Drosophila melanogaster: one gene and its partners. The protein of the gene in region 1 purifies or fractionates together with the protein of each later gene. This does not show direct contact. Each region holds a gene or a part of one and is shown on either strand. Other genes may lie near its edges. The genes, in order: coro, mRpL23 and bru3.

Region 1 (12,631 bases):
GTCAATTACCGCTGCAAAGTGAATTGTCAACAAAATCGAAACCCAAAAGAGGCGGCAAACTGAATTCAACACATTGTCCAACTGCCAACTATCACACACACACACGCTCTCAGTCGATCCAGGATGTTCCAGGATGGGGCGCACTTTCATTATCTGTGCAAATATTTGCCAAAAATGGCAGTTGGCAGTTGTCTCCTGTCCTGCGAGAGTTGCTGGCCCGACACTTTTGGGCATCCTAGTGCAAGTTTTAAGCCGCTTAGTCCCAGCTCTTTCCCATTACCCCCACCCCGCTACCCACTCGACAAAGTGAAAGTTATTCTACACACAGACACTCGTTCAAACTAACCCTGCGGTGCACATTTCATAAATGTGGCTGAAGAAAAACTATTTTCATGTTCCTGGGTTGCGTGGGCCTTTGCGAAACTTTCGTCCTCCTATGTCGGCTGTCCCTCAACACAACTTTTTGTCTGCGCCGGAAACTATGGCCCATCCTCCCAGCAAGCATGCCGTAAATATTTGCCTGTGCGGCACAGATGCAAACACGTCGCCAGTTTGACTTTAAGACTCACCTGAAGGGACGACCAGCCACGAAGTTAACACATCAACTGTCCCGCAGCAGCAAAGGGATCAGCAGCTGCACTGACACAAAAATTTGGCGACAACGGACCTGAAGTTATGTGAATATTATGGTAATCTGAGAATAGAGCATTATAGAACCTATACCGTCATTTGCCTCGTGCAAATCATCCATGGGCATGTATTGTACATTTTGAATGAACCGTGGACTGTAGTTAACTTAGTAACGAAATGCGCCGCAAAGTCGCCAAAGTCTACTATAATTGTTGAGGAACGATACTTTACTTTGCTTTACCAATAACCAAACACGTAGCTTCAATATTTTTCCCACTGCACTCGTGCAGCAATAGTAGTCAAGGGTGAAGAAAGTTGGCCAACTTTCTGTGGGCATATATTTGGATGTGTTATTGGAAAATTTTCAATTTGCTATTGAGAACGTACGGCGGCGGTATGATGGGATGTGGTTGGTTGATCAAGGGCAGAGTGCGTAACAAATTTTATACTCCAGAAAGCTAATTAACTTCTCTTTACGAGGCATAAACTTCCGCCATTATACGCATTTATTTTCATGCGAAAATAAACAAATACCCAAACACGAGCCGCCGACACGAGAAAGTAATGTTTTGACGGCTCCTTTTGTGCGCGCGTATACTTCTTTATGCATTAACAGGACGAGGAGCACGCAAGCAAACACAAACAAAGCCACGGGCCGCGTGAATTTACGACAGAGCCGCCGTCAAGGGGGTTCGGTGGGGGTCCTTTTGAGGTCCTGGAGAGGCGATACCTCTGCTGGTACTTAGCAACTTTAGCAAGGAGTATTTATTTAGCACGTGTTCCCACGTCCTTCTGCTCCTGGCACATTTGCTGCTTGCTTTTAATTAACAAATGCCTTCCATCGGTTTCGACAATCGTAGAGCGTTAATGTTAATAGAAGGCCGTAAACTTACCTGGATGCGGAAGTAGACATAAATTAGGCTTGGCCTTTACTGCCGCCGGGCATCATAATCTACTGGCCCATCAAAAGTCATGATTATAACTTGATTTGATAGCGGCTTTGGTCCAATCTGTCTGGATTACTGAAGAATGCACAATCAATGTAATTTTTGCATAAATGTACTACCCAAGTTACTACCAAGGATAATCACAGTACTGACAACTAATGCTGCAGTAAGTGCATATAGTGTAATGAATTGTCCTTGGAAATTCATAAAGTTAGGTGATGTCCAGCTGGTTTTTTGAAGGTTACTTTTAAATTGGTAGGAAAGCCAAATGTTAAACAAGTTACCAAGCAATTTCAAGAATGGATACATCACTTGACAAATGACTTCTTAAATGGCCATTTTAATTCATCCATTTGACGGCCAGATCACATTTCTAATCACATCGTGCAAAAGCCACGTAGAATAGAACATTTATTTAGGGAAGAACCCTTCACCTTTGCATATAATTTTTTTATGAACAGTTGGAGAAGGGTTGGAGGAAACTGTGCATTGGGTCTTTAAACAAGTAAAGCGCTAAAAATAAAACAACCTACACATTTAGCTATCATTGCTTTACAAATTCCATTACCCTAATCCGAAACCGACTGTTAACTTTTTTCAAGACCTCATTACCAAATGGAATACTTTAAGCCAGTACTGAAAGTTTGTTACGATTAATTACTAACTGAAATACTCGTACATCTCGACGCCGGCTGAAATTTATTGACAGTCTGAAAAACGAAATCTTAGTTCAAAGTTAACAAATGCATCTATGACTCAGTTAATAATTTGATCGAACTTACTTAATATAATTGATAGTATTTAATGTTGAACTCCGAATATCAAGTCCACGTCTGGTTGCTCTAGAGCAGCTAGATGGCCTTTACTGTTGGCTAACCAAGATGGCCCACAGCTACCGACTGCAACCGATAATCGCTGAAACTTGCAGTGAGTCAAATTGCATAACAAACATAATTTTAATTAAATCAACAACTTGGTCGGCAACACACTATATCATAATTGCCACGCGCCACCCACAAAAGCGCACTTGGCCAAGTTTAATTAAAATGTCAGAATCGTTGTACACGTAAATTGTAATTGCATTTTTTTGGTTTGCTCGCTGAGGTAATAATTACACACAACACATCGGCAGTATGCTCAAAAGCTGTTTAGGCAAAATTAAACGAATTTGCATATTCAATTGAACCGAACACATAGGCTCGGCAATGAATAACGCATGGATGAGCTTATTTCTGCAATTAAAAGTTGTCAATTAGTTTAAAGTGCAGCTGGTAAAAATTCCATTGTCGACTAACATCTACATATTTGAAAATGCTGCTAAAAGAACACACATTACGAAAAGAATTAGATACGAAACACCTCCATTATTAGCACCCAACTTCTTCTGGCATTGTATTTTGTTTTATTCCGTATCAAATTGTAAATTATTTGTATATAGAGTATTTATGTATGTATATGTATATAGTCTTCATTTTACAATGGTTGTGAATTACAAAATCGGTAGGTGTTTAATGACGCTGCTCTCGCCCTCGGTTCTCTAACAAAACTAATGAAAGTAAAATCAAATGAAAGAAAAGAAAAGTAAACAAATTTTTATAAAAATAGTTTCGATGGTTTCTTACTTTCTTTCTGATTTTGTTGCATTTATTGTTACTCTTATTATTTCAAAATACAGCTTATCATTAGTTTGAACAATAAAATTTTGATTACGAAAACGAATTAAGTCCGATGACCCCCATCACTTTCTTACTAAATTCGCTATGTTTGACACGACAATTTGCAGGGAAATGTGACTGATTAAGGGGGCCTCAGCTAGGATGAACAGTATCGATTCTATCAGCTATTGTCATGAAAACTTCCGGGACGTACAAATATACAGACGTTACAGAAAGGAGCTCGTACAAATTTGGTAGGTAGGTGTTAACTCTTAAGTGATTGAGGTTTAGTCTATGATTTGCCTTTGTTAAATTTACAACAATTTCATACTTGCGTAACAACAAGCCGATCAAAGGGCCGAGTACCTGCCCTTCGCTCTGCTTGATTTTGGGCGCAAAATGTAGGTAGTTCGTTAGGTTTTTTATATATTTTTGGCAGGATGTAGTTTTATGTTATGTTTTATACGTTAAGCGTCCAGGTCTGCTCGGTTATGCTCGCTTAAGTTCGATTAGATGATTTAGCTCGGCATTCTCTAACCCTATCTGTGCCACACCCGCACTCAACTGATTTCGCTAATATTAAATTATAAAAAATAAATAATCGAAACCATAATGGTAATAGACAATAAGTTCTTTTTCAATTCGTCCTCAGCGCGCTTTGTTGCAATAGAGAAATTAAGCGTAGCTACGAGCTTCTACAAGCAGTTCTCTGTCTCTCCTCCAATCCATTCCGCCCATTTTTATCAGTTCAGTCCTCGTTTCATTGCTAGACCTAGTCCTCGTCCTTTGACGTTCCGGCTGATGTGGACGCGTGGTCGTTGGCACTTTCACTGGCTTTGCCGTCAGACGTGGCTGCTCCCGCTGAAGCCGGCGCAGCATCGCTTCCATTCTTGTTGCGGGCGTCCTCCTTGGCCTCCAGAGCGCGGATGCGGTTCTCTTGCTTGACGATGATCGCCTTAAGTTTGCGGATCTCGTCTTGTATGGTGCGCAGGTCCTTTTCCTTTTGAAGTGAACCAATAAGTTAATCATACAACCGCTGAAGGAGTGCAAGTACTCACCGATAAAACCGCTGCAGGCGGTCCACCTTCGCTAGCCTCATTGTTATTTCCGGACGCAAAGTTGCCGCCGCCCGCGCTGCTGCTCGTTGCACCGGAGCTAGCGCTGTCGCCTCTAGGCTTGTTCAGGATGTTGCCCGCCTTCTTCGCTGGTAGCGATTTGTTTACCGACGAGGACACGTAGCCACCCTGTACAATGGAAACGCGATCCTGATTAGGCGGGTAAGAAAATCTGTTCGTTTCAGAACACAACAAACAACAATGAACACAACGACAAGCGCCACGCGCATTCGCGTGCGTGTTAGGGCCAAGTGTGCATTTATGCGGCGTGTTACTGTATCCAATAGGAGACTTTAATAAGTTAGCTAACATTTAGAATACTAAACCATTTTAGATCATTGTGAATACTCTTTATTCCGGTCGTCACTAAAACATTCTTAAGATGCCTCGTCTCAAGTGACATTGTACAACGGAGAACGAGGACTGTAGTCTGTGTATTGGAGTGGAATGTGGCTGGGCGGACAAGGCACAAACGTAGATAACGCAGAAAAAACGTAAGTAAAGCAAGCGCAGGCATCACACGCTGGTAGGTAGCCACCGGCAAATGCTGGGAGTAAGCTTTAAACGGAACTCACAAGTAGCTCACTTGGAGTCCTTGTGCTAGCAGACAAAAGCAACTGCAAAAGCCGTTGGAATACATTGTAGAAGGGGCGTCCACAGTGGCAGCGACTGCCTCATCGACTTCGAGCCGCATTGCCATCTGTGGACAAGCCCCGCTGGCGCACATGCTGATATATATCCTATATCTTGTACGCTCTTATCGCCGGCGGAATGGTTGGCAGTGTGGCCGAACCGTTGCCGCATTCGGCGGCGAGCGCTGTATTCGCAACACGGAATAAAAGTCTGAGCTGCTTCTGCACCTTAGCCACTTACTTTGAGCGAAAATGTGATCGGATCCGCATCCTTGCCATCGATCCACTCCTCCGCGGTGATGGCAGCGTCTTCCGCTAGCGTATCGGGGTAGAGATCCTCCTGGAAAAGATCCGATTTGCGCGGCACAGTCATCGAGATGACCTGACACAGACCGTTGTTGTTCATGCGATAGAACTTGGCGACCTCGCAGGTGGTCACATCACAGCCTCGCTTGGGCATCAGACCAATACCACGCTGCGGCTCTGTAGTCTGAAACGTGTTTATGTAGTGCACAAAAGGAGGTTCGGGCGTTACCTGTTCGATGAGATTTTGGTTAGATAATATTCATATGTAATATTGTAGATTTACTTGTACTAACCTCGAAATACCGAATGACCGAGTCACCTTTTCCACACAAGTAGATCATGTTCGTGTCTGCGTCGTAAAGAGGGAACATTACGCCGTTGGACGTGTCCAGCTCCACCATGACAATGGGTTCGTTAAGGGCATCCGGTGCGCGCAGGGAGTACTGACGCTCCGAGCTACGGTTGAAGCCTGTGGTGAAGATCAGACCGTGACGTAGGAAAATGGCCCTCGTGGCCTTGGAGCCCTCATGACACATGGCTTCGCTCTCCAGCTCGGCAGTGCGCGGATCGTAGATGCGGATCTTTTTATCCTTGCAGGTGGTAACCAACTTAGAGCCATCCCAGTTGAAGCAGGCGCTGTAAACGATGTCCGGATGGGAGTCGATGTGCACGAGGATTTCACCAGTGCCCACGTTCCAAATCACGACCTTCGCAATACAGAGAGTATAAGCATGGGCTTCTGAAGAAGTGTTAGCATTCGCTCACCTGGTTATCGGAGCCGGCGGTAAGCAGCACGTTGAGCGCAGAGGGATGCCACAACACCAGACCCACGCGACGCTGGTGGAAAACCAGGTCGACCACGGGTTCGGTGAGTGTTCGCGACAGCCCGCCATCGGGGATCTGCCACACTTTGACCACACAGTCCTCTGAGCCGGAGGCGATCACGTTGTCGTTGTGGGGGCACCAGGCGATGTCCAGCACAGGACCCTTGTGACCGCCCACCAAAGGGTGGTCAGCCGCAATGCGACCAACCTGAAAGAGTCCATTAAATTTCAATTAGCTCGATACGCCACAGTAAATTTTTATAATTGATGGCGACTAAGTCATGAGCAGCAACCATTGCAAAACTGCAACCTCGCGACCCATTAGCCCAATTCCTGAATTATTATTTATAGCCGACTCCGACTGCACTCGGTTCTGCTATGTTCGCTAATCTGCCAAGCAGGCAATTTATAATTGTAAACTTCATGCCAATTGCTTCCGAATATGGCCCTAGAATTATAGAAAATTGGAATGCCGAATAGCTCCCATCGAAATCTATATATTTCGAAGCATATTATAACAAATAGTAATGGTAAACTATTTCAAATTTAACATTGTTATATATTATTAGATAATATTCTTTGTTCATCGCTTTCAATAAATGTATTAAAATGTATCATTCCAAAAAGTTTCTCGAATGAGTTCCATGAGTGTAAATCTATTTTGGTTTTTTCAAGAACTTGTGCTTGTTCTTGCCTACACTTGCCACATGCGGCCAACCTTGGCGACTAGATGGATCTCACTCATCATCCAGTGCCCATAAAATAAGTAAAATAGGGCGTGTGAAAGCCGCTCCACATAGAAATCATCACTTAAAAAAGCGGCAACTGCTTAGAGTGAAAAAAACGATCGCTTGCCGCGCGTTTTGCATACAAATTTTTGTTTCAAATGGAACGACCATCGGTGTACTTCCATATATGTTTTCATCAAAAGAGGAGCATCGGAAGATTAGGGGAATGGGTGCTTCTGCTGCCCACACTATTTGCTGGAGCTGCGCGCAAAACTACAACTAAACAGAAGCCCGAATAGCTGAATCTGGGGCAGGACGGCCAAAAGATTTTGAGATTGAAAATGCAATTTAGTGGAATACAAACAATTAGTTTTTAGCGGAATAAGTCGCCGAGCTGAGTGTGCATTTCGATGCAATGATTCGCCCGAATATCATTTTTGTATTCATTTAACTGGCTGCTCCTCTGCCTCTCTCTAAAATTAGACGATTTGTTTGTCATGTTGGCTAGTGGCCAAATTACAAAAGTGCGCCAGCTAGCAGTATCGCTGCCGCGGTAGTAGCAGAATCTATAACTATTTATAAACACATGTGAGATTGGGTGGAGTCATGCGAAATCCGTCGACGTCACTCGCGACGTGGCAACAAGCCCGCAAATGGCCGCAAACTTTATGCCAAAAGGGCGCTATAAATAGTTGCCCATTGTCTTGTTTAAAAATACCCCACCAAGCTGGCCGCGTCGGGGCAGACGCACGTAGACGAGTGCAACTATAATAGGTCCGGTGGCGCACTCACTTTGTTGTGTGGCAGGACGATGAAGGCTCCGCCGCCCGCCGACTCTACGATAATGGCCAGGAACTTGGGATTCACCGCGCAGAATGTGGAGTCCCAGCTGGACTTGGATACCCGTATGTTGTCGTAGCACTGCTCCCGCTTGAGAGCCTGTCCGTAGACGTGGCGGAACTTGGAGCTGCGCACTACGCGAAATGACATCTTGATGCTGCAGTGGCTTGGGTCAGCGATCAGTCCTGAGCTTCTCTACGTCTAGCTCTGAAAAGAAATGAGACGTACGAAGGATAGTTAGCAATGTAGGGGAATTTCTTACGCGTTTGGTATTTTCCACCCTTTGCCCTTAATAACAAGTCTTCAAGCGAAATCGTTTAGCCGTATTCTTTCCGCACCTGAATGAGATATGAAACCCCTACTTTTTGGCAGAGATTTGAACACTCATTTGATAGGTTTTGTTTTCTACACAGTTCTGTGAAACCTGAAAATCGTGATCTTAGCCTTATCCGAGTTCTGAGCGACGCATAAACCGACCGAATAGCAATGTTATTCGCTTTCAGCTTCGCTCACTTATGTGTTAGCTTAACGCGTTTTTCTTTCACCGCGCTTCGCAGCCTCGATTAGTTCAATAAATTTGCATATGCTAATTTCGCTTGTTGCGAAAATCAATGAGCTTTCCATTCGCAGCTTGCTATTGACGCGCTGACTTTGTCCGCGAGAGGTTGCATCAAATTGCTTATGGCATCACTAATGTTGGCGACTGAAAGCGCCGGAAACGGCGGGAGGCGCCTAGAACGCTTTCACCTGCCACTTGGCAACTGCCACATTCGGGTCCACTTTCGTTAATGAAGCGCCAGCCGGAACGTGTCGAACTATCAGTTTTCCATACCCCTTTCTTTCAGGATGACATCATAACGCCAAAATAGCCACTCCAGCAATGAGTAGCCTTCCAACACGTAAGTTATGGCTGAGCAAACCGATCCCGCAGGCCAACCTAAGCCCAAACATATACCTAACACTCCGGGAGACTTCTAGATAGCTACGTGTTTGAAGCAGAATTCATTTCTGGGTTGGGCCGAGCCCGGCAGGCTTCCACTCCGAACAGCTTTCGTTTTTAATCAGAGAAGTGCCATAAAATTATTTGCCTCTTTTGCCTCGTTGCTTCGTTTTGTTTTGCTCAAAGATATTCATATTTATTGCAAGCACTAAACTTTGTCATTGACCCCTTTAAACTGGCCCCAAAGCAGACCCCAGAATTGATTACTTTCTACGCTGTCTGTTTTTGGCCACAAGGTGAGCCCCGGAGGGCTTTGTTCTTGGGTGGGTGTGGGTATCGACATGGCCTCTCCACTGATAAGGAAATATCAGCTCGGAGTTGGCTAAACACCACAGAGATAATGTTAAGTGCTACGCCTATGTAGTCCAAAACGACGCCGAAATGTTTGCCACCAACTGGAAAATACTCCTAAGCACTGTACCCGGAATATATCTATCTATATATATATATATATATCTGCGGCGTGTGTATGCGTTGTTATTTATGTGTTTATATGCCAAACACCTTCGTTTGCAGGCGGGAAAATTTTTGTTTCGCGGCTGAAGGTCAAACTTATTAATAGAAAATTAAATCATCTTAGGCGAAATGAAATTTTCATATACAAACACAGTGCACGATGCTCAAAGCAGCGTTGTAAATCGCATTTGATGTGTTTATTTATTTCGTTGGCATCGCTGGCACCTGCCATGCCTGAGTTATCATAGTCGAGCCACCCCCATCCACTCCCACTTCCCCGATCGATCATAATTGCATTCGCAATTCCGCTCGCAATGGCCAAAAAAGTGGCCTCTTCTGCGCTTAATCAACTTGACCGTCGGTGGTTTTATCAGCGGACCACTCAGCGATTAACGGAAGTGTGGGTTCAAGAAAATCGCTGAAGAAATGAAAATCTTTGAAGAACTCATTCCCGACGCCCATTACCCGGGTGGTGTGATTGAATACCCAGCATCACATTGCATTCCATTCTTTACAGTGGGCCCCAAATGTAAGGCTGTTTCTGAAGATATTCGAAAGGAAATTAAGTCAAAGGTTCAAATTAGTACCGGATCTTCAAAACTCACATTAGATGGAAGTCCACAATCTACCTAGTTATTGTGTTTAAGTCTAGTATTATATTTATTCACAATAGATGTCAAAGGTGCGAGCGTCACTAGTTTCTCAAATTGTTCAACAGTGTTTTTCTTTTCTTCTAAAAACTCGCTTGAGTACATTCGGAAATTACCTATAACCTGCGATTCTGATCAGGAATATATTCTTCATAGGGTCGGAATCGTTGCAACGTTTTCGACGAATCAGAATAAACTTCTCTATAAATGAAAGGTATGTATACCTTAATAACAATGAAATGGGGTTAAATAACATAATGATTTTGATAGTATAATTAGAATTAATAGAATTCCGTTTGAAAAAGGTCTTGAAAAAGGTCCTGAGTCAGATTTTGGTTCTAGGAGGCGTCTCTGCCAGAATTAGAAACAGGCTGTTGCTGAATCATTATTGAAAAGTAACCAACTAATCCGCACGCCACTTAACCAGCGGGTGTCAACCAACTTTCAGCAGCGACTGTCTTGTAATCGCGTTAACCATTTGACAATGGGGCTGTTGTGGGGCCCTCCAGCAATTTGTGTTGAAATCGCGAGAGATGCAACCGTCGCTGAATTGATGCGAATGCGATGGTCCAGCGATCGGGGACTGGCCGAGAATTGACTTAATGCTTGATTGCAAATCTTGCCGCTTTGTCGACACGTTGTGTTCACCGGCCACTTCCGTTATAATGACATCTCTATTCCCCAAGTACACTCGAAAAAGAATCTATTAAATGTGTAGGACCACATGCCATCATGGTTTCCGGATTAAAGTAGCTACAACTGATAGTTCAAACTTTTCCTAAAGCATAGGGCACAAAACCATTCTTGTATAGACAAAACTGTTATTAATAAATATGTATTAAACATACTCCGCTTAACTCATGTGTAGAGTTATTGGATATGGAGTTTTGTAAACTCAAGTGCTTCCCTTTAACGTGTCACCACAATTACATAGAGGCAGGTGGTTTAAAACAAAATTAATACTATATAATTATGGATTAAAACTTTGTCTTGATACGTGAAGATATCAGACCAGTTGTAGCTCAGTCAGGTGTTATCAATACGGCATCATACATTGTATACATATATGTTTGCGTTGCGCGGCTTGGTTTTGATTAACTCGTGGTATCTTTTCTTCCTGTGCACAGCTGCAGCGACACCTAATCAGCTGGCCAATGATCAATGCCACATGCATGAGTCACCCCTGATAAGGGGCCCGCTGTTTATCGGCTGTCGGCTGCACTGGAAACTTTCGCCGTTCGCCTCATCTCGACTGGATGGTGAGGTTGATGGCGATGATGATGATGATGATGTCATTGATGCAGGCGCAACGTCATTGGTTGTGCAGCTCATATACATGCACATACACACACAGGCGTGTGTGTGTTGAAGGTTCATCAAACTGATTGCAGAGTGTGCGTGCCTGACGGCGATTAGCCAAAGTTTTTGACAAAAAGCGCGCAAGTGTCGCGGCAGACTCACTGGCTTGCAGCACAGTGGGTGTCGTCGCTGTACGAGTGAAAGTGGAACTCTGCTGCTAAAATTAACCCCATGCATATGCAGTGCCCCACCCGACACCCATCACGTCCCCTCGCCATCACAAGTGGCGCTGGCTTTTGTTGCTGTCTTAATTGCCGCTCGTTCTTTTTCTCCCCAGCTCCCCCCACTGTGACCGCCATCCGTTTGTTTCTATTTTTCCATTTGCGCTTAGTCAGACCGGGCGGCAATTGTGAATGCCTGTGCACCCTAGAAATTCAAAGTACATGGATTTTTTTGAGACCGAATGGGCGAATAAAAGTACCTTTCCCTTTTAAGAATTACACATTCGATGCCTAACTATAGCCCTGAACGCGTATTCCAGGTAAAACGATGTCTACCTGATTAATGTGAAACGTGAAGCACTGAGAAAAAATTATCCCGGGATTTTAGAAAATCACCTTTTATTCTCAAACGCTATAAAGACGAGCAATTGAACAAAGAAGACTTTTCTTACGTCTAGAGATATCCATGTAATATTCATTTTAGAAAAGTTAAATCAATGGTTTTAGAAAAGCTTTCAAGAAAATTTTTTTTCTTTATATGTATGTTGCCATTACAAGAAAAAGAAAAATCCGTAACTAATGTACACTGATGCTTAAATGGGTGGAGATATTTTGAATCAATGACGGTTTCCTAAAATCAAGGTTAATTTTATTCTAGGTGTAGTCAAGTAAAAGTTAATTTATCCAGATATGGCTTAGAAATAATAGATAAATCACCCTATGTAGGTTTTGTAGATTAAATTCTAAATTAAGGTTTTGGGCTTTCTTAAGCATTATTAGCGATCTATATTTTTCGGTTCCAAGTCTATGATGATGATAATTTCTTAATTTAATATTAGTGGGTGGACTGTAAAACTCCAACTTCAGATGTTCCTTCTATCCAAAAGGGTATTCAAGCAGTGGCTTCCCAAAATTACGTGCTTCCTAGTTCTTTTCGGAGGTATTGCCGCCAATTGGCGTGTCCATTGCCAGTCTAACTGGCGTTCATACGTGCGCCTGTTTTGCGATCGTCGAACAGCTGTTGTTCGCCGAGTAATCGCGACATTGGCTGACGCATAAACGCGATCGGCGTTTGGACTCGAATGTGTATGTGTGTGTGCTTCATTCCAGTGCATTTCTCATATTTTTGTCACTAATTGGTGTTGGCTAAGTTTCGCTTCTTAACCCATTTGGGGAGCAACCGAAATAGCTGTGCGTGTGGGCGTATGCTGTGCGCTCTCTCGCTTGCTCGCGCGCACTTTGGAAGACACCTCTGGAGGTCGCTTGTTTTTCACACTTGCTCTCGCTCGCACGCACGAAATGAACCGTAATTGTGGACTCGGGCCCAT
Region 2 (8,128 bases), on another chromosome or scaffold:
GCGACGACGAGGTGGCCAACAAAAGTCTAATTCTAGCTCCACAGGTAGATCAACAGGAGGTTCCAACAGGTGTGTTTCAGCTCAAATCTATATCGGCTTTGTGTAACATGTCCAACATTTACAGATAAACCCGCCAAGAGGCGGCATAAAGAATCAGAAGTATCGGCCACTAAGAAACAAAGCAGGAAAAACCAAGCGGAGGAGCAGGTGGCCACCAGTGGAAGCGATGAAAGTCTTCCTCAGAAGCCTCAGAAGAGAAAACAAGTCCAGGATGCCAACGAAACCAAAAAGCTGAAACGCAGCAAAACGCAGGAAAATAACTCGGATGAAGACGACGATGTGGACTCCCAGCCCACAGCAGCGCAACTAAAAGAAGCAGCTCGTCCGGAGAACGCTTATGCAGTGGTTACAGTGCGCCAAAAGAAGAAACAGAAGCACCAGCAGCGCCTCGAGGCCCAAAAGAGTCAGAGCTCCAACAAAGATGCCAAAGTCAACAAGGAATATCTTCTAAAATGGAAGGAATCCCGCCAGGATTGGAAGTTCAACAAACTGCGACAGATTTCCATACAACAAACCGCCTTTGATGTGGAGAAACTGGATGACGAGCTGTGGCCAACTGCTCTGGAGTATTTGGCCAGTTCCCAGGGAGCAGCGCGCTCAAAGATCAGTCAGTTGGCCGAGGAGGTGATCCAGAAACTGGACAAGGAGGGCGAAAAGCTGGAGGACGAGGCGGAAAGGCGAAAGCTAATCGAGTCCACGCAGTACCGGCGGGCACGCGATCTCCTCCAAAGCTTCGACTAGTTTATTATGTTAGTTGTTAATTTTTGCCTTAGGAATAAATTACACATGCCTTCCTATTTTACAAAAACTTGTCCTTTATTTGTTTTATAGCATCCTCATTATGAATATTTTACAAATTTACAACTTATAACTACAGGTCCACATAGGCTAAAAGTTTGTCTATGTGATCAACGCGCTGCTGCAGAAGCTGTCGATCCTCGTCCTTCAGCTTAAGTTTGTCCAGCTGTTCCTCTTGCAAAAGAAAATGCTGCAGGAAGAGCCTTACGCTTTGCTTAAACTGCTGCAGTTTGGTGTTTTTGGCAACTCTTTCGAACGTCTGATAAATCTCGCGTTCATCGTTAGCCAAAAGCAGCCTGACCATCACTTCCTTCATAAAGTAAAAGCTGAGCTTGTCCAGCTGCATAAAGTCGACTACTTTGAGCACTGACAGCTGCAGACCAGCAGCTAGGATTACTTGCTGCAGAAAACTAGCCAGGTTGCGAATCTGCGGCTTGGAAAGCTTTTCGATATCATTGATTCTGTCCCAACTGGCAAACTGGAAAGCCAGTTGATACTTTCTGTTGAATTGACAGAACTTAAGTGCCAAATGAGCGTAATAGGGGTTAGCACGCTTCTCATTCAGAGCGCAATGGATGATCACGTAGGCCACCGCTCGCTGGTCCTTCAGAGACAAATGCAGAATCTTCTCAAAGGCGTCCACATAATCGGCGGCGCTCATGATGATGCAGAAGATATTCCTCCTTTCGGCTGTGTTCATCTGCTGCTTTCTGGCCAGCTCCAGTAGCTGATCCGCAAAACCTCCGTTGGCAGACTTCGATGAGTTCTTATCCTGCTTTTGCTTGGCGGATCCCATCTCATCCAGATTTCCCGTCCAGGCAGAGCCCACAATCCACCATTTGCCCACTTTATCAGCACGCAGGAGGTCCTCCAGGGTTATGTTCAGAGTCACCACGTAGCGATCATTCTTCAGCATGGCCTTCAAACGCTTTCGCAGATTCTCCGCCAACTCGGGATCATACTGCGGCAGCTTTTGCATATTGTTGTTTTTGACTGCATTTAGAATATCGACCATGAAACGCAGGCGTGGATTCTCTTTCAGTTCCAGTGGGGCACTAGCAATTTGCGATTGAACTTTTTGCATCATGGTCTTAAAGGCCAGTGGATCGTCCTTGCGCAGCCGGAAGCCAATGGACTGGAAGATCAGCAAAAGGCACTCCACGCTCTTCTCGCAAAGCTGATCTGACAATTTGCCTATGAGCTCCATCAGCAAATTCAGCTCGTAGATCTTGAAGAGGTACATGTAGCAGAGCACCAGTACTAGGTTATTCAGCTGCTTATCCTCCACCTCCAGGGTAGCGATGTTCTTGACATAACCATCGAATAACTCCACAAAAGTCTGCAGGAAATGCGCTCCAATCTCGCTGCCAACCTGGGCATGTAGGTAGGCCAGCAGCACCATGTGTTCCTGTACCATTCGCTCGTTGGTTCGCGTGTAGCCGAGAAGGGCTTCTTGAATTAACTTGGTTAGTGTTTCGTTCATGTTGTAGCGGGAGTTTTTCATGTACAGCTCCTCGATGCCGGCGGCAATCTTGTGCAGATTCGCTTCTGACAAACGATTGAGCAGACCCTTGCATTGCTTTAGAAGGCGAGCTAGTATCTCTGCCTGTTTTTCACTTGATCCCGCGCTGGCTGCCATCAAAGCTCGCTGATGTGGCGGTATGTACTTTTGACCGGCGGCTGAGGCCTCGAGCTCCACGGGATCAGGCAGGATGTTTCCCTCGGCGTCGCGTTTGCGTCCGTAGATGTCCTCTTTAACTGTAATTAATTCGTTAATTAAATGAAAAACTCTAAACGATGAATGTACTCACTCTTAGGTGCATTCTCTTCCTGCTCCGAATCCTCCTCGCTTTGTTCTTCCTCTCCAGTTAGGTCTTCATCATCATCTTCACCCTCAGAGCCACTGTCATCTTCTGAGAAGTTATCCATGGGCTCATCCCTGTCCTCCTTATCCTCTTCCTCATCGCTCCACATTCCCGCCTCCTCCTTTTCTTGCTGCTCCTTCAGCTTTTTCTTACGTTCCTGCTTCTCCTCCCACTTCCGCTTCTCCTCCTCGTCATCCAGGACAAAGTCAAGCAGGTAGTCCAGGCCATCATTGAACATCTTCCGCACCAAGCGGTTTTTGTCCTTGGATTTGTTGAGCTTCAGCTTCTTTTCCAGCTTGTTGATCTCGCGATCATCCTCCTCGTTCTCTATGCGAAGTTGCTTGATTCGCTGCTTCTTGGACTTGCTCTCCAGTTCCTTTTGCTGGCGCAGTTCCTTCCGCCTGACCGCCTCTTCATCCTGTCTTTGGATGGCGCCTCCTGTCGTTTTCTTGACCTTTTTTCCCAGAGGTTCATAGACTTCCATCTTTTCCCTTGCGGGCAGCAGAGCATCCACCTCCGCATCGCTGAAATCCGAATCTATGGACTCGTCATCGTCGCTGTCTATTTCACCGGACAAAAGTTGCTCCTTGGGTATTTCATCTGGATTTATTATTTTGGGCTTCTTGCTCCGTTTCTTCTTCTTGTTTTTGCCCAGCTGCGACTGCGCTGCCAACGCCTCTGCCGCCGCCGCCACGCGCTGTGTTCCGTTAGTTTTGCCGGCGAAATAAAGTCGTTTATTCTGTTTTTTGAACTCCGACTTCTGTTTTCTCTGCTCCTTGCGAGTCAAAGGTTTAGCTTTCGCCTCCTTTTTCTTTATTTTTGCCATTTTAAACGGCCTTTACCAGAGATTTCAGCCGGACCGAATTTAAAAATTGTTGTGGTTGACAATCAGCTGTTTAAAACAAGTGTTGGACAACCCACGTGCTTTTACACGGGTGTAGGTAACAGTTCTTTGAGAGGAATCTAGATTTAGTGATATTATTTTTTAAAAGTGGTAAAAGTGTGGAATATTTTATAGTTACAGCGTAATAACTTAAATTAATATATACGTTAAGTTTTAGTTAACAATCTTATGCGACCCCCTTGCTACGCCTGTGTCCGCCCGAAACCTTTGGCCTTTTTTAGTGCATTTCATAAACGCACAACAATTAATTTAATTTTTGTATTCTTGAATTAGAATCTTAGATCCTGGCTAGATCATGTCCACGAGGTGGTATCCCATCTATCAGCGCGGCAATCCGCAGCTTCGCGTTTTCCTTCCCAACTTCTGGATGAAGCTAATCCGACCCACGGAGGAACAGCCACCCAATGTGGTCACTTTTTCGGTGTCCATGGAAATGACCAAGTACGATGTGCGTAACTATCTGGAGAAGATCTACAAGCTGCCGGTGGTGGATGTGCGTACTCGGATTGCCATGGGCGAGACCAAGAAGGATCAGACCTACGGCTACATCACCAAAAAAGACGACGTGAAGCTGGCTTATGTAACATTGGTATGGCCCACTACAAGCCCCTGATTCAATGGATATTTCCAATGATATTTGTGTATTCCAGCCCAGGGAGGAGTCCTTTGTCTTCCCCGACTTCTTTTCCGAAAAGGCTGAGAAGCAGGCCAAGGAGGAAAAGTCGCTGGATGAATCGAAAGCCGGTTTCCGCAGATTTCTGGACAGGAACAAGAAGCGACCCGGCACGCCGGGCTGGTTTTCCATTTAGTTTTTAGTGTGTAATCGTAGTACTTTTCGTTTCAACGGGTAAATAAACATTTATTTCGAAAGTCCGAATTAACCTAAAGCTCAGCTTTATTTGCGAGGAGGTCAACCTCCACTTTTTTTTTGGGATTTCTCAATTATTACTTGGCCTGTTTGACGGCGGCGGCAACCCAGGCCCGGATTTTGTCCTCGTCCTGGAGTCCCACCATGCGCTGCACCTCCTTGCCGTTCTGCAGCACCACTAGCACGGGCACGGCGGCCACATCGTAGTCCAGAGCCAGTTCGCTGTGCTCATCTATGTCCACCTTGGCCAGCTTGATGGAACCGGCCTGTTCGCCCACAATACTCTCGATGCGCGGGGTTAGCAGCTTGCAGGGATTGCACCAGCTGGTGGATTACAATATAAACATTAATTTGCCATGTCCTCAAATTGAAAATATAAAAATTACGTTGCGAAGAAGTCCACAATCACGGGCTGCTGGCTGTTCTTTACTTTCTTGTCAAAGTCCTCGGCGCTCTGGACTTTGAAGATCTCCTGTCGCGGCGCAGAAACTGACAGCATGCGAATTTGCTGGCCGCTAGCCAGGCGACGCGTCGTCTGTCCCAGAATGTTAATAATCTGTCGCTGCATGGCTTATTTTCTACAATTTCTCAGTGCAAAAAGTTCAGCGATTGATTGCAAAATAATGACAAGAGAATCAGAACAACAACAATGAGTGTGGTGGGGTTGCCAGATGGATTGGTATTGCCTAATGATGTGTGCACACACTGTTTCATTAACTGTTACTTCCCGGTCATGATAATTTTGTTTTATATTATTTAAGTTAAAAACTTATATTTATTAACCATAACTATGTAATCTTTTTTAATTTTCAATTTATGATTAAAAAATGAATAACGATATTTCGTTCTCTCAATCTATCGAACTAGTTGGCATCTCCGTTGAGAAAATAATCAGCAATTTCATGGTGTGCACACATTGGCTCTCCTTTTTTTGAGAAGTAGTCTTGTTTTGTTTTGTCGTAATAATATCCCAACTTTTCGGTTAAAATTCAAGTGTTACAATCGCATTACGGTCCGTAATCATCGAAAGGTTAATTGGCGCACATAAAAGGCGGGTATAATCGTCTTAAAACCCCCGTACCCTCGGGTCAATTACGGAAATTGTCCAGCGAATTTCGCAAATGACCAGTGGAACTTTAGTAATTCAGTCAAACTGAAGACCCAGGATCCGGGAAAAAGTTATCAGTATGGACGACCTGTCGCAGGGCGACATTTGCCGCGTGTGCAGATGCGAGGCACAGCCGGATAGGCCTCTTTTCTACCCGTGCATCTGCACTGGATCGATCAAGTACATTCATCAGGACTGCCTGATGTTATGGATGCGCTACTCGCACAAGGAATACTGCGAGCTGTGCAGCTACAGCTTCAGCTTTCAGCCCATCTATGCTCCGGATATGCCGCGAGTCCTGCCGATAAAGGATGTCCTTGTGGGACTGATGTCCGCCGTTTTGGAGGGCGCTCGCTGCTGGCTTCATTACACCCTGGTCGGTTTGGCCTGGTTCGGAGTGGTGCCGCTGTCTGCCTACAGGACCTATCGGTACCTCTTCCGGGCGAGCTCCTTCGATATGATTCTCACGCTGCCCTTTGACATCTTCTCCGTTGAAAACCTGGCATCGGATGCCTTTCGGGGCTGTTTTGTGGTCACATGCACACTTTTGTCCTTCATAGGATTGGTCTGGCTGCGCGAGCAGATCCTGCATGGCGGCGGACCCGATTGGCTGGAGCGGGACGATGCCCCTCTACAGGCAGCGGCTGCTAATCCTGCGCCTGATCCCGCCGCCGAGGCAGCTCCACAGCCTCAGGACGACAACAACAATGCCGACGACAATGAAGCGCCGGCTCCAGCGGACAACGATGGGCAGGATGCCCAGGCCCAGGATGCCGCACCAGCGGCTGCAGCTCCCGTCGTGGACGCCGATGCCGATGAGCAGAATTGGAATCCCATGGAGTGGGATCGGGCTGCCGAGGAGCTTACCTGGGAACGCCTGCTCGGACTCGATGGCTCGCTAGTTTTTCTGGAGCACGTCTTCTGGATCATCTCACTGAACACCATGTTCATCTTCACCTTCGCCTTTTGTCCCTACTGCGTGGGCAACTTCATTCTGAGCTCCATGGATCTTTTGCAGCCCGAGAAACCACTGCTACACTTTCACGGCCTGATTACCACGCTATTTGGTTACTGCTGCATTGGATTGACCCTGGTGGTGCTGCACTTCTTCTCCAGAGTTTTCCGCCTGCGGAGAGTCTGCTGGTTCATTGGATTGTGCTATATTGTGGTCAAGGTGTCGCTGCTGTCGGTGTTGGAGATCGGAGTACTCCCGCTGATTTGCGGCTGGTGGCTGGACATTTGTTCGTTGCCCCTACTAGATGCCAGCCTCAAGGATCGTAAAGAGAGTTTTAAGGCTGCTCCGGGCACCTCACTTTTTGTCCACTGGATGTTTGGCATGGTATACGTTTACTACTTCGCTGCGTTTGTATCGTTGTTGCGCGAGGTGCTGCGACCGGGAGTGCTCTGGATATTCCGCAATGTCAACGATCCTGACTTCAGTCCCATCCAGGAAATGATCCATGTACCAATTGTGAGACACATCCGGCGGCTGGTCGCTTCGGCTATGATCTTTGGATTTGCAGTGCTCTTGATGCTCTGGCTGCCCATTAGAATTCTGCAGGTGGTTTGTCCGGACTTCTTGCCATATGCACTTAGTGGCGATTCAGCGGTTAACTTGCAATTGCTGCTCTTACAAGTAAGTTACCCGCAAACTTATTTGAATAACTTAAACAATCTAAACTCGCCATTCCAGATCGTTTTGCCGGGCTTCTTCGAGCAGACCCAAACACGCATCTGGCTAAAGGGCTTGCTGCGCATTTGGTGCACAGCGGTGGCCTGGTTGCTGGGCATACGAAGCTACCTGCTCCCAGCACCGGAGCCGGAACCGGAAATTCCCGCTGCTGGAGAAGAAGGCGTGGAGAATGCCGCTGGCGAAAATGAAAACCAGGAAGGTGAGGCAGCGGATGCGGCAGCCCAACCACCAGCACCACCTCCTCCACCGCCACCGCCAGTGGAACCGGCGCCGGCACCACGAAACCTTGCCGCCGCCCATCAGGCCATCATGCAACGGGATGCACCCGTGGGATTCCAGCCGTACGACAAGCCATCGCTGTTCGCTTTACGTTTGTGTGCCCTGTTGGCACTCATGTGTTTGTCCATCGTTTGTGCTGCCATGTTGACGCTCACGGTTCCAGTCTACATCGGTCGGCGGCTGATGTTGATCTGGTCCTCCCAGCCGGATGAGAAGGCAGCTGGAGCGGCAGCCGCAGAAGGAGCGGGCGAAGTGGTTGAAAATCTAGATCCAATCGATCCGGAAGGAGCCAGAAAGAACGAGCGACTACTGCGCTCGCATGAGCTGTACACCGCTGAGCTTGGTGGTTACCTGTGCTGGATTGTCTGCCGGGTAGTAGCTGCGGTGGTCACCCTGCTGCCACAAGGCCGCGCGGCTATTGTCGACAAGATAAAGCACTGGGTCCGAGTGGCATTGCAATATGCCCTGCCCGTTCTAACACTCCTGGGAATCTTCGTGCTGGTTCCGTTGCTGATTGGATTGCTGATCGAGTTGGCGGTGGTCATTCCCCTAC
Region 3 (9,814 bases), on another chromosome or scaffold:
GTTAAGAGTTGGCGTCCCATAAAAATGTTGATCACATTTTATACACTGACCTATGGTCCTGTCTACTTCCGAGGTCCTTTCTGCCTGTCCACACTGAACCTTTTAAAGTTGTCCACCCATGGACTCACAATAAGTTAAATATGTGTGAGTGAGGCAACTGCTGCTGATTCTCCCAGGCGCTACAGCCATTATTTCTTCCACTTGCGCAGCTTCCTTGGCCAGCATCTTAGTTTCTGTGGCCGTATATGTGTGTGTGTGTGTGTGTCTGAGTGTGCTATGTGTGCCCAGCTGTGCAATTGTTGACACCCACAGAACACAGAGCCACGTACACGTGCAAAGGGGCTTGTTTTTCGATACAGCAGCTGCAGCTGCCGGCTTGAAACGCTCCATTTGTGCAGCCAATCGCTACAGGCGGCGGCCTGTTATTTATACCCTAACCAAGCTGATGGAATAAGGATTATTAAGGATATGCTAAAATGAAAAGTAATTTGAACTGACCTTCGGAATGGAAATTGCGCCTTCAAATTAATTTACCCTGTGATAAAAGATAACTAGAAGAGTGTATTATTTGACTTGAGTCTAGCAGAAAGTGTACTAAAAATTCGTATAATAGCAAACGTATTTTCTTAATATACATTAGTTTGCCCCCTTAAGCTTGTGGTTCCAGAGCCTGACTGCCTCTCGCGCATTGAGTTCATTACCCCGTTGTGGTTAAGAAGGAGTGGCGGGCTTAGGCAGACTAATGTAATATTTAAGCGACAGAAATATTCACAAAAAGTTCAGCTTAATCGCAAGCTGCATCTGTTGCTATACCAACTTTTGCCTGGTATTTAAGTAAGGCATCAAAATTAAGCAAAACCTACGGAGTCTGCCCGAGGGAAGCCAAGCCCAAAACCACTTATTGCCAAAGTTTCGGCAAACTCCTTCATTTCATTATTGATTATTTCCAACCTTTATTTTCTACGCTTTATTTTGTTACAATACCCAGTTCAAGTTCCTCAGCTCTGAACTCTCTTTTTATGAGTACTTTAAAACTCCTCGAGTTCCGCTGACTTTTACTAACTTTGATGGCAGAAGCGCACGGATGAAAAGATTTGTGACGATTATTAAAAATAATTTTTTCCCCTTTTTGTGGCATTTAAGTGAGTAGCTGTAAAAATCTATAACGTTATTTTGGCGAGAAATAGAAAATTGGCAAAAATAGTATTGTAGTTGACTAAAGACGAAAACTTTAAAAATACCAAAATTGTACCCACATGTAAGGAACAAGACGAATTGTAAAGAAGCATTTAAGCTGACTTACAAAACTTAATGGTGCCAGAATTGCCAGGGCCTTTGAGAGGATTCTCTCTGTTTAAATCGTTCCACAGTAGTGTGATCTAAGCTTGTTTTGGTCCTTACAATATAGCAAATGTCGTCAAATCCATACACAGAAGTAAACATCCACAAACACAGACACTTATGGGCAGACCCAGAAAGCCACGGGCATTGCCTTCTAAGTCTCGTCCTTTTTTTCCACTGTTGTCCTTTTTATTTATCTCGCTTGCTCATTTTTGTGTTTTTGTTTTGCATTCTCAACGAGGCCAAACCGCACACACACGCACGCCCCCATGCAAATAACGCCACACACACACACATATACACCCATACACCCACACACATACACGCGCACACATAGACATGGTGAATGAGAAGAAGACAAGGCGTGACAAGTGCAGGCTTCATCCGAACGTGCCCTCTGCACTCAGCCCCTCCACCACCTCTACCTCCTCCCCCGACGCCTGTCAAGTCAACACCCTTCTCCGCCCGCTGCCATAACCAAAAAGAGGAAAAACTTTAACTAGATGCATATATAAATTGCGTTCTATATATTTATGCCCCGACATATATGCAAATGCATCATGGCTGCGCGGCAGTGGAGGCACAGCTTCTATTAAATATGCTTATTATGACACAAGCAAACATACAAACTTAATGTTTATTGGGTTCTTGGCGTTGGGTTCACAAGAGCAGAAAAAATATTTAATTGATAAATTCAGCAACGATAGCTTTACTGGCTGATTTAAGTGGATACAATTAAAACTAGTTTCTCTTTCTCTATTTGCGCAGTTCTTTCGATTTATTTGTTATAATTAAATTAATATGATTTATTTTAACCGATTTATTTGCACACAAAAAATAGTGTAAAAATTTTTTAAATATTGAAAAAAAAAAAACGTATAAACGCTAGTATTTCGCAGCTTTTTAAATTTGCCTTTAAATTGAGCTTCTGATTAATAGCGCCTGTTTTTTATGCCGGCAAAGTCCTTCCTTTTTTGTGTTAAAGATATCCTCTTCCATTCTCATCTGGTGTTTTCGATGTTTCTCCCTTAGGCTTTTTGGCTCATCTTAACTCACAGCGTTCCTTTTTAGTTTCACTGTCTCCATTCGTTTTGCCTTCCATAAATAAAATAAATGTAGGTGAAAATATACATAAATAATGGGCACAAGCGCGGCTTTTTTTATGAAGTGTTTGAATGTGCGAGTGTCAACCCAGGGCACTTGAAAGATGGTGGGGAGGGGGGCTTGTGATGGGGGCGACGTCTGTGAAAATTATAAAACAGACGACGCAGCCATTCTGGCGGGGCAAAGATATTATGGCCTCTGAAGGCTGAGAAGGGGACCCCTGCCATGTAGGCGTGTGTAAATAGCAAAAACCTAGTCGGGCGTACACAAGCCAAGTCATCATGGAAAATGGCTAAACAGGCAAAAGAATAAGGGCCAAAGAAGATAGAAAGATAACAGAGTGGAAGGCATGACAAATACGTTTTCTCTGCCTTTTTTTTATGGCATATACATATATGCCCCGAGGTAGTGGGACGTATAAAGTTTGACCTCCAATCAATAAATCACATTAAAAGGGGATCTTTCAAGAAATGAAGAGAATGACAATGGACAAAGATGGCCAATAACTGACCCATAATTGTTCATTGTCACGTCATTGTCCGCGTCAGTTGCTCAAGGCACATGAGAATAGTATCCAGCAAGAAATGTATTTATTCTTGGCCTCTTTTTCGTTCTTTTCCGCTAATTATTGTGTAATATTAATCTTATTAATAAATAACAAGGAATCATAGTATCCATATACTAAGAAACATCTCTCTAATAGCTAAGAAGTATCCTTTTCTTGTCACCTAGATCTCGCTTTTCTCCGCAAGCTAGATATACAGCCCAAGTATCCTTAATAAACACCGCACCGATAAATGACTGTTACTCATAGTATTCACCTAGAAAGGATGATGTACTTTTCCCCGAAATGAACACTTCGCCATTAAATGGGTGAGGAGTATCCTTTTTGTATCACTTGGCTCTGGATTTTCGCCGCTTTTCTCTCTTCATTTTCTTCTGGGCCAGTCAGGTCTCATCATCCGCTTGCGCTTTTTTCTCAGCTTTTGGCTTGATTTCCTTTTTTGTCGCTACAGCCAGAGTCCTTTTGCTCCGCGCTTGCCTTTTACTAGCCCAGACTGCGCCCACAAAGACGTGTACATATATGTGTTTTTCCAGCTGCCAAAAGGCTGCGCTTGGCTTCTTCGCAGCCAGTGTTTTGTTTTTGGCTTCGTCAGCCAACTTTAGCTATTGACAGACCTTGCCACCTCGCGTCCATGTCCTTGCTGGAAAACATTTCGCTTTCAGCGCTCATTTTGCAGGATGTCGGGAAAGTGATGTAAAAAATATACACAACAATTTCAAGATATCTTCTGTGGCCTATACTGCGTGCCCAAAAGCCATAATTATCACGCGTTCACATGGCGTATACGAGATTTTGCTGTTTCGCGTTTAAACTCTTAACCGAAATTTATGCTTTCGCTGTTGCTAATTGTACATTTTGTTGCTCTTGCTGTTTATAATGTAAAATTTATTGTGTTTGTGCATGTTTATTATCGCCACGCCGTTACGCGCCCTCATATGGATTTGTAACACGCCCCCCTACACCCCCTCTTTAAACATCACTGTGCATTTATGTTTTACAGCGTCTGCAAAAAATATTATCAAAAGTAATAAATGAATAACAAAATACAAAACAAACGCCATCAATAATTCATGGGAAAAAAAACAACACAAACAGAAATAACCAAAAATAAAAGCTTGCGGCGCGTCGTTCTTTAAATATTTTATAAATTAATTCTGCAAACAGCGTAAGCGAAATTAAAAAATACAACAAAAACATCAGGAATTAATGTAGTGCCTAATGCAATGTGTAATAAAACCGTGTAGACCAGGAGGTGCGCCAGATCATTAAATACCAGCAAACACTGTTAGGTGAAAAAAAAAAAAAAATTATGAAATACAAATTTATATTTATTATTGAATAAATATGCAGAGTAAATATTACATATGCTAACCGTGAAAACAAATTGAATTATACAGCAAATAAAACAACAAATACTTTTCGTCGTGTTTTCGAATGTTTGGCTATTAAAGCGCTTACAGCTTAATTGGGCGTTACAAAGTGGTAAGTAAAAAAATAAACACTTTTGATAAACAATTATTTTTGAAAATATAAATTATTAAAATGATTTTAGTCAAAAGTTTCATAGAATAAGAAGATGCTTTACATATTCATAGTGTTATATTTTGATATATGTCCGTTTCTCTTTTTATTTTTTTAGCCCACATTAATCAAACGACTATCTCAGTAAATTTGCACAGTATTATTATAGTTTAATTCATCGCACAAAAGACTCCTTAATCTTTCATGCAGCGATCTTTTAATATCCTCTAACTATTATCAAAACATATCAAAAATTGTAATTAAGATACCATTGCATTTCCCTTGGTAAATATATCACAGTTTTTTCTAATTTAAACACACGTACACAACGTCGTTCATGGCTTTATCAGCCAACTTTGCTGATTCAAAGATATCTGTCGACCCTCATCCATCAACAAAAACCCAACCACAAATGTCACATGCAAATTCGGTTCGCCTTGTAACGGAAGTGCAAGCAAAAAATAGCGAAAGATTTTTATACATAACTTTTTATGCTACTCATTGTTGGGAGCAGAAACTTCAACCTCCTTCCAACGGTTTGAGGTGGTGCTTGCTGCACTTTTGCGGCGAGGTGAGCTGTACGGGTGTGTGCACGTTTTTGCATTTGCACCACTTTATTTCAATTTTATTCGCCATTTTCTTCGTTTGCGTGGTACATTTCCTGGGGACGAGACGCAGCAGTGACTTTTGCTCGGCAGCTGACTCGACTCCACTTTCCGTTTACCCTGGGCTGCCCTCCTCATTACCCTCTTTACATTTCTAATTACACGCTCATTTTAAACTTGAAACATTTGCAAACGGATGCCTGGGTCTGGAGGAGTCTGCGATTTTCAGTAACAATTTTCCATTTCCCATGCCATGAGGCTGCAAAAATGTTGGGTCACAAACGTAATAGACCAGATTTTCCTGTGACTGCTAAAGAAACCTAGCTGGCCGACCACAAATGTCTGGCATCTAGGGCTTGATTTGGAGACAAGTCTTGCATTTGACAATTTTCTTTCATTTTGGGGCCTGAAAACATTTTCCTACAATGTTCTCAATATATTCCACTATTTTCGAGTTCATTTTAAGACCAATTGATATTACTAGTAGTATTTAATCTTAAATGTTCGCTTAGGGAATAGTAATTTTTAATTGCCGTTTTTATACTTAGAACACAAAAAGTAGACACTGTAATTTGCGAACCCTGGACATACCAAACGCGTTTTCGTTTTGTTAAGTTACTAAAAAATTAAAACAATGCTGCATGTCCATTTTGCATGTGAGGAAACATTTGGCGCGCAAGTAAATGTGCATGTGGGTGAGATGGTTTTTGCCGTTTCTAGACTGCTCTTTGTTTGAGTTGTGTTTTAATTTCCATATTACGTGCTGGCCAGAGATTTATCAATGCGATTTATATAAGCCATAATTTCTCCATTTCACCCAGAAGTAAGTTAGTAAATTACTGCAATCGCTTGCAACATCAATGGGTAAAATTTAACAGCAATAACCTTACATAAGATTTCACTATTTTCCTTTTTTTATAATAGTTTGAAAAATTTATATTATTAATTGTTTAATTAGAAATAGAATAAGTATGGATTAGAAAGTAATAATGAAGTGAAAGGAAGCGGCGTTGACTTACGTTGCCATTTGACCTTTTCAGGCCCCTTGAAGGGCAATTCTAACACACTGTCTCTCTCACAGGAAATGTTTATAACATGTCCTCCTTTGACAACTTATTCAATGAAAAGTTTCAAATAGTAGCTTATGAATAGTAAAAGAAAGATTATGAAATCTATTGGTAAGCGTTTAAAATGTAATTGAAATATTGCTCATACGCAGCATGTGCCCATTTATTGAAACTGGAAAGAATGCCAAGTTGGTTCATACCCAGTTGGCCCAATCAGGCCAATTCAATGACATAAATCTTAAGGCAATAAAGCAAAGAATGTCGCAGCATGAGACTATTATATTGTGCATACTGAGCTGGTAAAGCAAATCTCGTAAATGTACTAATATAAAATTGGTATTAATGGGCTGTCGCCTTAGGTGAAATTACCTTTAAGAATAATTGTATAAACAAGCAAGGGGATAGGAAGTTTAATAAGAAAGTATAAACTTTATAATTGAGAAAACTATTTAAGCCTATTTAAGCTTTTTTTATCTAACCTTTATCTCAACTTTTTCCGTTCTATGGTTCTACTTTTGCGTCTTTAAATTTAGCAATTGCCGCACTTGTAGGAAAGTTTCAATTATAAGTCAGTGTGCCAAAAATTGTTTCACAAACTCTAATTAATTTATAGTGCTTCACAACTCGTAGCTTAAATGGTGCAGTTGATAAATTGGCGAGATAAAATTATAATAATGCTGATGTGGAAATAAAATATGCAAAATACTTATTGTACAACTCGTTCCTATTTAATGATATCTTTTCTCAGTTACTATTAAATATGTTAATCTGCGCAAAGCGGCACTAAAAAAAATACACCAACACGCAGGTAAAACTGAAAATACCTTTAAAGAAAACAAACTTCAGCGGCGCTATCAACTGCAGATTTCGCTGTTGGTATTGCCAATTTAAGCGAAAATTAAATTGGAATTTGCAATGAATATTTGAACAAAAGTACACAGACCAGAGTGCGGTAAGCGAGCAGTGGTAATGGGATCGAAGCGAGAGGATGGGCATAGGCTGCATGAAATGAACACAAGTGTTGAGCAAAGTGAATGCGTAATGCGTTTTTGCACCCGGAACAGGACAGGACCACCAAAAAAAAAAAAAAAAAAGTCGGACGCTGTCAGTCACCCAGGTCCGTAATTTGCAGCCCGGGTATTCCGCTGAGTTGTTTCCTCCGGTATATGTGGTTTTTCTTTGATATCCTAACAAAAAGGATGAACTCATCAGAAAAGGATTTGTAGCTCTTCAGAAATAATGATTTCACATGCTCGCATTTACAAATACCACTTTTAATATTTATTAAGTCTTTTATTTTAGATGTTCTCTAATGTTTTGGTCCTAAAAAATTAAGTTCTGTACAGCACGCTCTTAAAGAACAAATAGAAAAAACGTTGGGCGCCAATCTTTCGTTTACATGTTAAGATAAAGGCTTAATCTATAATATATATACGTCACAAAGCTTATATTATTCCATAGACGATGTGAATAAGTTTTGAAATGAGTTTTCAATAGAGGCCTTCAAAATCAGGAAGTTGCTTTCTGATTGAGTGAAGCTTGTTTGGTAGGTCTCTGAAAATGTGCACGCCTGCCCAGAACAAATCCATTCCTTGATGTTGACCCCTTTAGATCGAACGGCAATTGCAATGGATTTGATTTTTCCATACTTTGCCGTCGAGCGTGACATCCACGTAGCCCTTCACGCTTCTCCCGCTTCCGCCCTTCTGTCACATGTGAAATTGGGCGGCTGACATGTTTGCCTGTGTTTTTTTTTTTTTTTTTTGCCACCACCTCCCGTTTTTCCATTGCTCATGTTAGAGTAGGTAATTTTTTAATGCATTTAAACGGCTGTCAAGTGGCCCACACACGCCACTTCGCTTCTGAAACCGCTCCACATTGCCTCCGTGCCCCATCCTTTGCCCTTTGTTAGCAGTTTTGGAAAGTGACGCGGCGCGAGCAGTTGCCCAAAAATATGCAAAAACCCGCGAGCACTTACGACAAGCTCGTTGCGAAGGCAGGAGGACTATATCAGGTTGCGGCCCTCAACAGCAAAGCAAAATTTAGACATTCAGCCTACAGTTTGGTGTTCAGTTTTCATTCACCGAAAAGTGAAACCAAATAGAAAAAAAATGCTTTTTCGAGGAAATAGCGCACAGTCGATGGGTAGTTAGTTGCTTGACGAAATTCGTTCATTGTCCTGTAGATTAGGAGAAATATAGCTACAAGGCTATGTCTAGTTGTATCATAAACAACAAGTCAGTTGCAGGATTGTTATGTTTGCAAAAATCAATAAGTTAATAGGAAATGGATCGGCATTGATAATACACATGCTGCTTGGCAGAACATCTAGGATTCGTTGTAAAACGTGCTTTTATTTCCCTTTGTTTTGAGCACTCACAACGTTGGCTTGCCTGTCGGAGCAGAGTCAAGTAGAGGACATACAAAATTGAAATAAAGTACAAACATGTTGCCAACTTTTTGCACAGCAGCAACAACAACAACAATAACCACTGTCTGTCATTCAGTCTGTCGGTCTGTGGAATGGTTTAGGCCCATAACAACAACAACAAACAACAACAACAACAGCGACGGAGAGCGAGGCAGGAAAAAGTTTTAACTGATTACGTTTGCTGTTGATAATGTTGAGTGACATTTGGTTTGCGTATTAACTTAAGTGAGCGACAGCAGCTGTCTGTCCCCCGCCAACTGAACGCATACACATACACACGTACAAATGTGGAGTGTCCTGGATCCACCCACGGATTCACCCCTTTTGGGAGCTCTCCGGATTGCCAGGAGGTTTGTATTTCAATTAAAAAATTAATTTTTTAATGTGACCCGCTGATGGGGCTCTGCATCCCGATGAATGGCAAATGCTTTTAGAAATTAATGTGGACGAAAGAAAGCCAACAATCGAGTTGGGATGAATTATATGTTGGTATAATGAATTGTAAAAGTTATTTATGCTGGTATCAGCAGCCATACCATATAATCAGGATTCAATAAAATCGTCAAGCTCTTTTTTACCCTCCACCTGGCTCAAGTAATTGTATACATTGGCACTAGAATCGCTCAGGTTGTATTTTTGTCGCGTTGCCAAATTCAAATATCTTTTAAGTCCTTTTTGCCAAGCCAATAAACCAGCACTTAACCGCAATTACCCCCCGTTTTTCGGCAAACAAGGGGGTCGGGCAAAGAGCAGCGTTTTTTATGCCACTCTTGTACTCGCAACCTCTTCTTTATCCTTTCTCCCAGCCACCCCAAAGCCCCCCTCTGAATGTGCACTGCAATCAGTCTTCATTTACACTTTGCACCTGGGGCGCTTGGCTTGCCGTTAGTCTCTCAACTCAGCTCTCGGTTCCCAAGGCCCACTACGTAGTACCCACTACCAACTACCTACTACCTACTACCTACTACCTACTACCCACGCCCCAGTTCACAGTTCAGAGTTCCCAGTTCAGTTCGGCAACACGAAAAGAGTGTTTTGGGGATGGAGTAGGATGGGTGCTTCTGGTGGGTCGGAGGTAAATCTAAACCGGGCACCCAACAACTTTAAACTCGCATGCAAGCTCGAAGGCCAGAGACACAGCGTAGTATGAGTTACACGGAAAAGAGTTGAGTTGAAAAAC

What was found.
Region 2: the proteins of coro (region 1) and mRpL23 purify together in Drosophila melanogaster (affinity purification with mass spectrometry, with the first as the bait; one large-scale study listed by BioGRID). This does not show direct contact.
Region 3: the proteins of coro (region 1) and bru3 purify together in Drosophila melanogaster (affinity purification with mass spectrometry, with the first as the bait; one large-scale study listed by BioGRID). This does not show direct contact.

The regions. Positions count from the first base shown.
Region 1 is NT_033778.4:6,859,058-6,871,688, forward strand, and holds coro (coronin), read right to left. Parts: upstream 8,739-12,631; 5' UTR 8,510-8,738; intron 8,468-8,509; exon of another isoform or gene 8,425-8,467; intron 8,084-8,424; exon of another isoform or gene 7,940-8,083; intron 7,885-7,939; 5' UTR 7,828-7,884; coding exon 7,630-7,827; intron 6,828-7,629; coding exon of another isoform or gene 6,810-6,827; intron 6,318-6,809; coding exon 6,051-6,317; intron 5,993-6,050; coding exon 5,579-5,992; intron 5,515-5,578; coding exon 5,221-5,514; intron 4,498-5,220; coding exon 4,291-4,497; intron 4,233-4,290; coding exon 4,005-4,232; 3' UTR 3,203-4,004; downstream 1-3,202.
Region 2 is NT_037436.4:2,369,217-2,377,344, reverse strand, and holds mRpL23 (mitochondrial ribosomal protein L23), read left to right. Parts: upstream 1-3,640; 5' UTR 3,641-3,660; intron 3,661-3,666; exon of another isoform or gene 3,667-3,748; intron 3,749-3,843; exon of another isoform or gene 3,844-3,900; 5' UTR 3,901-3,922; coding exon 3,923-4,216; intron 4,217-4,277; coding exon 4,278-4,436; 3' UTR 4,437-4,501; downstream 4,502-8,128. Other genes in the region: CG15877 (uncharacterized protein), read left to right, coding at 1-69, 125-801; CG9004 (uncharacterized protein), read right to left, coding at 932-2,616, 2,670-3,549; CG8993 (uncharacterized protein), read right to left, coding at 4,573-4,819, 4,882-5,063; CG1317 (uncharacterized protein), read left to right, coding at 5,683-7,239, 7,297-8,128.
Region 3 is NT_037436.4:13,792,702-13,802,515, reverse strand, and holds the start of bru3 (bruno 3), read left to right. Parts: upstream 1-3,988; 5' UTR 3,989-4,492; intron 4,493-9,814.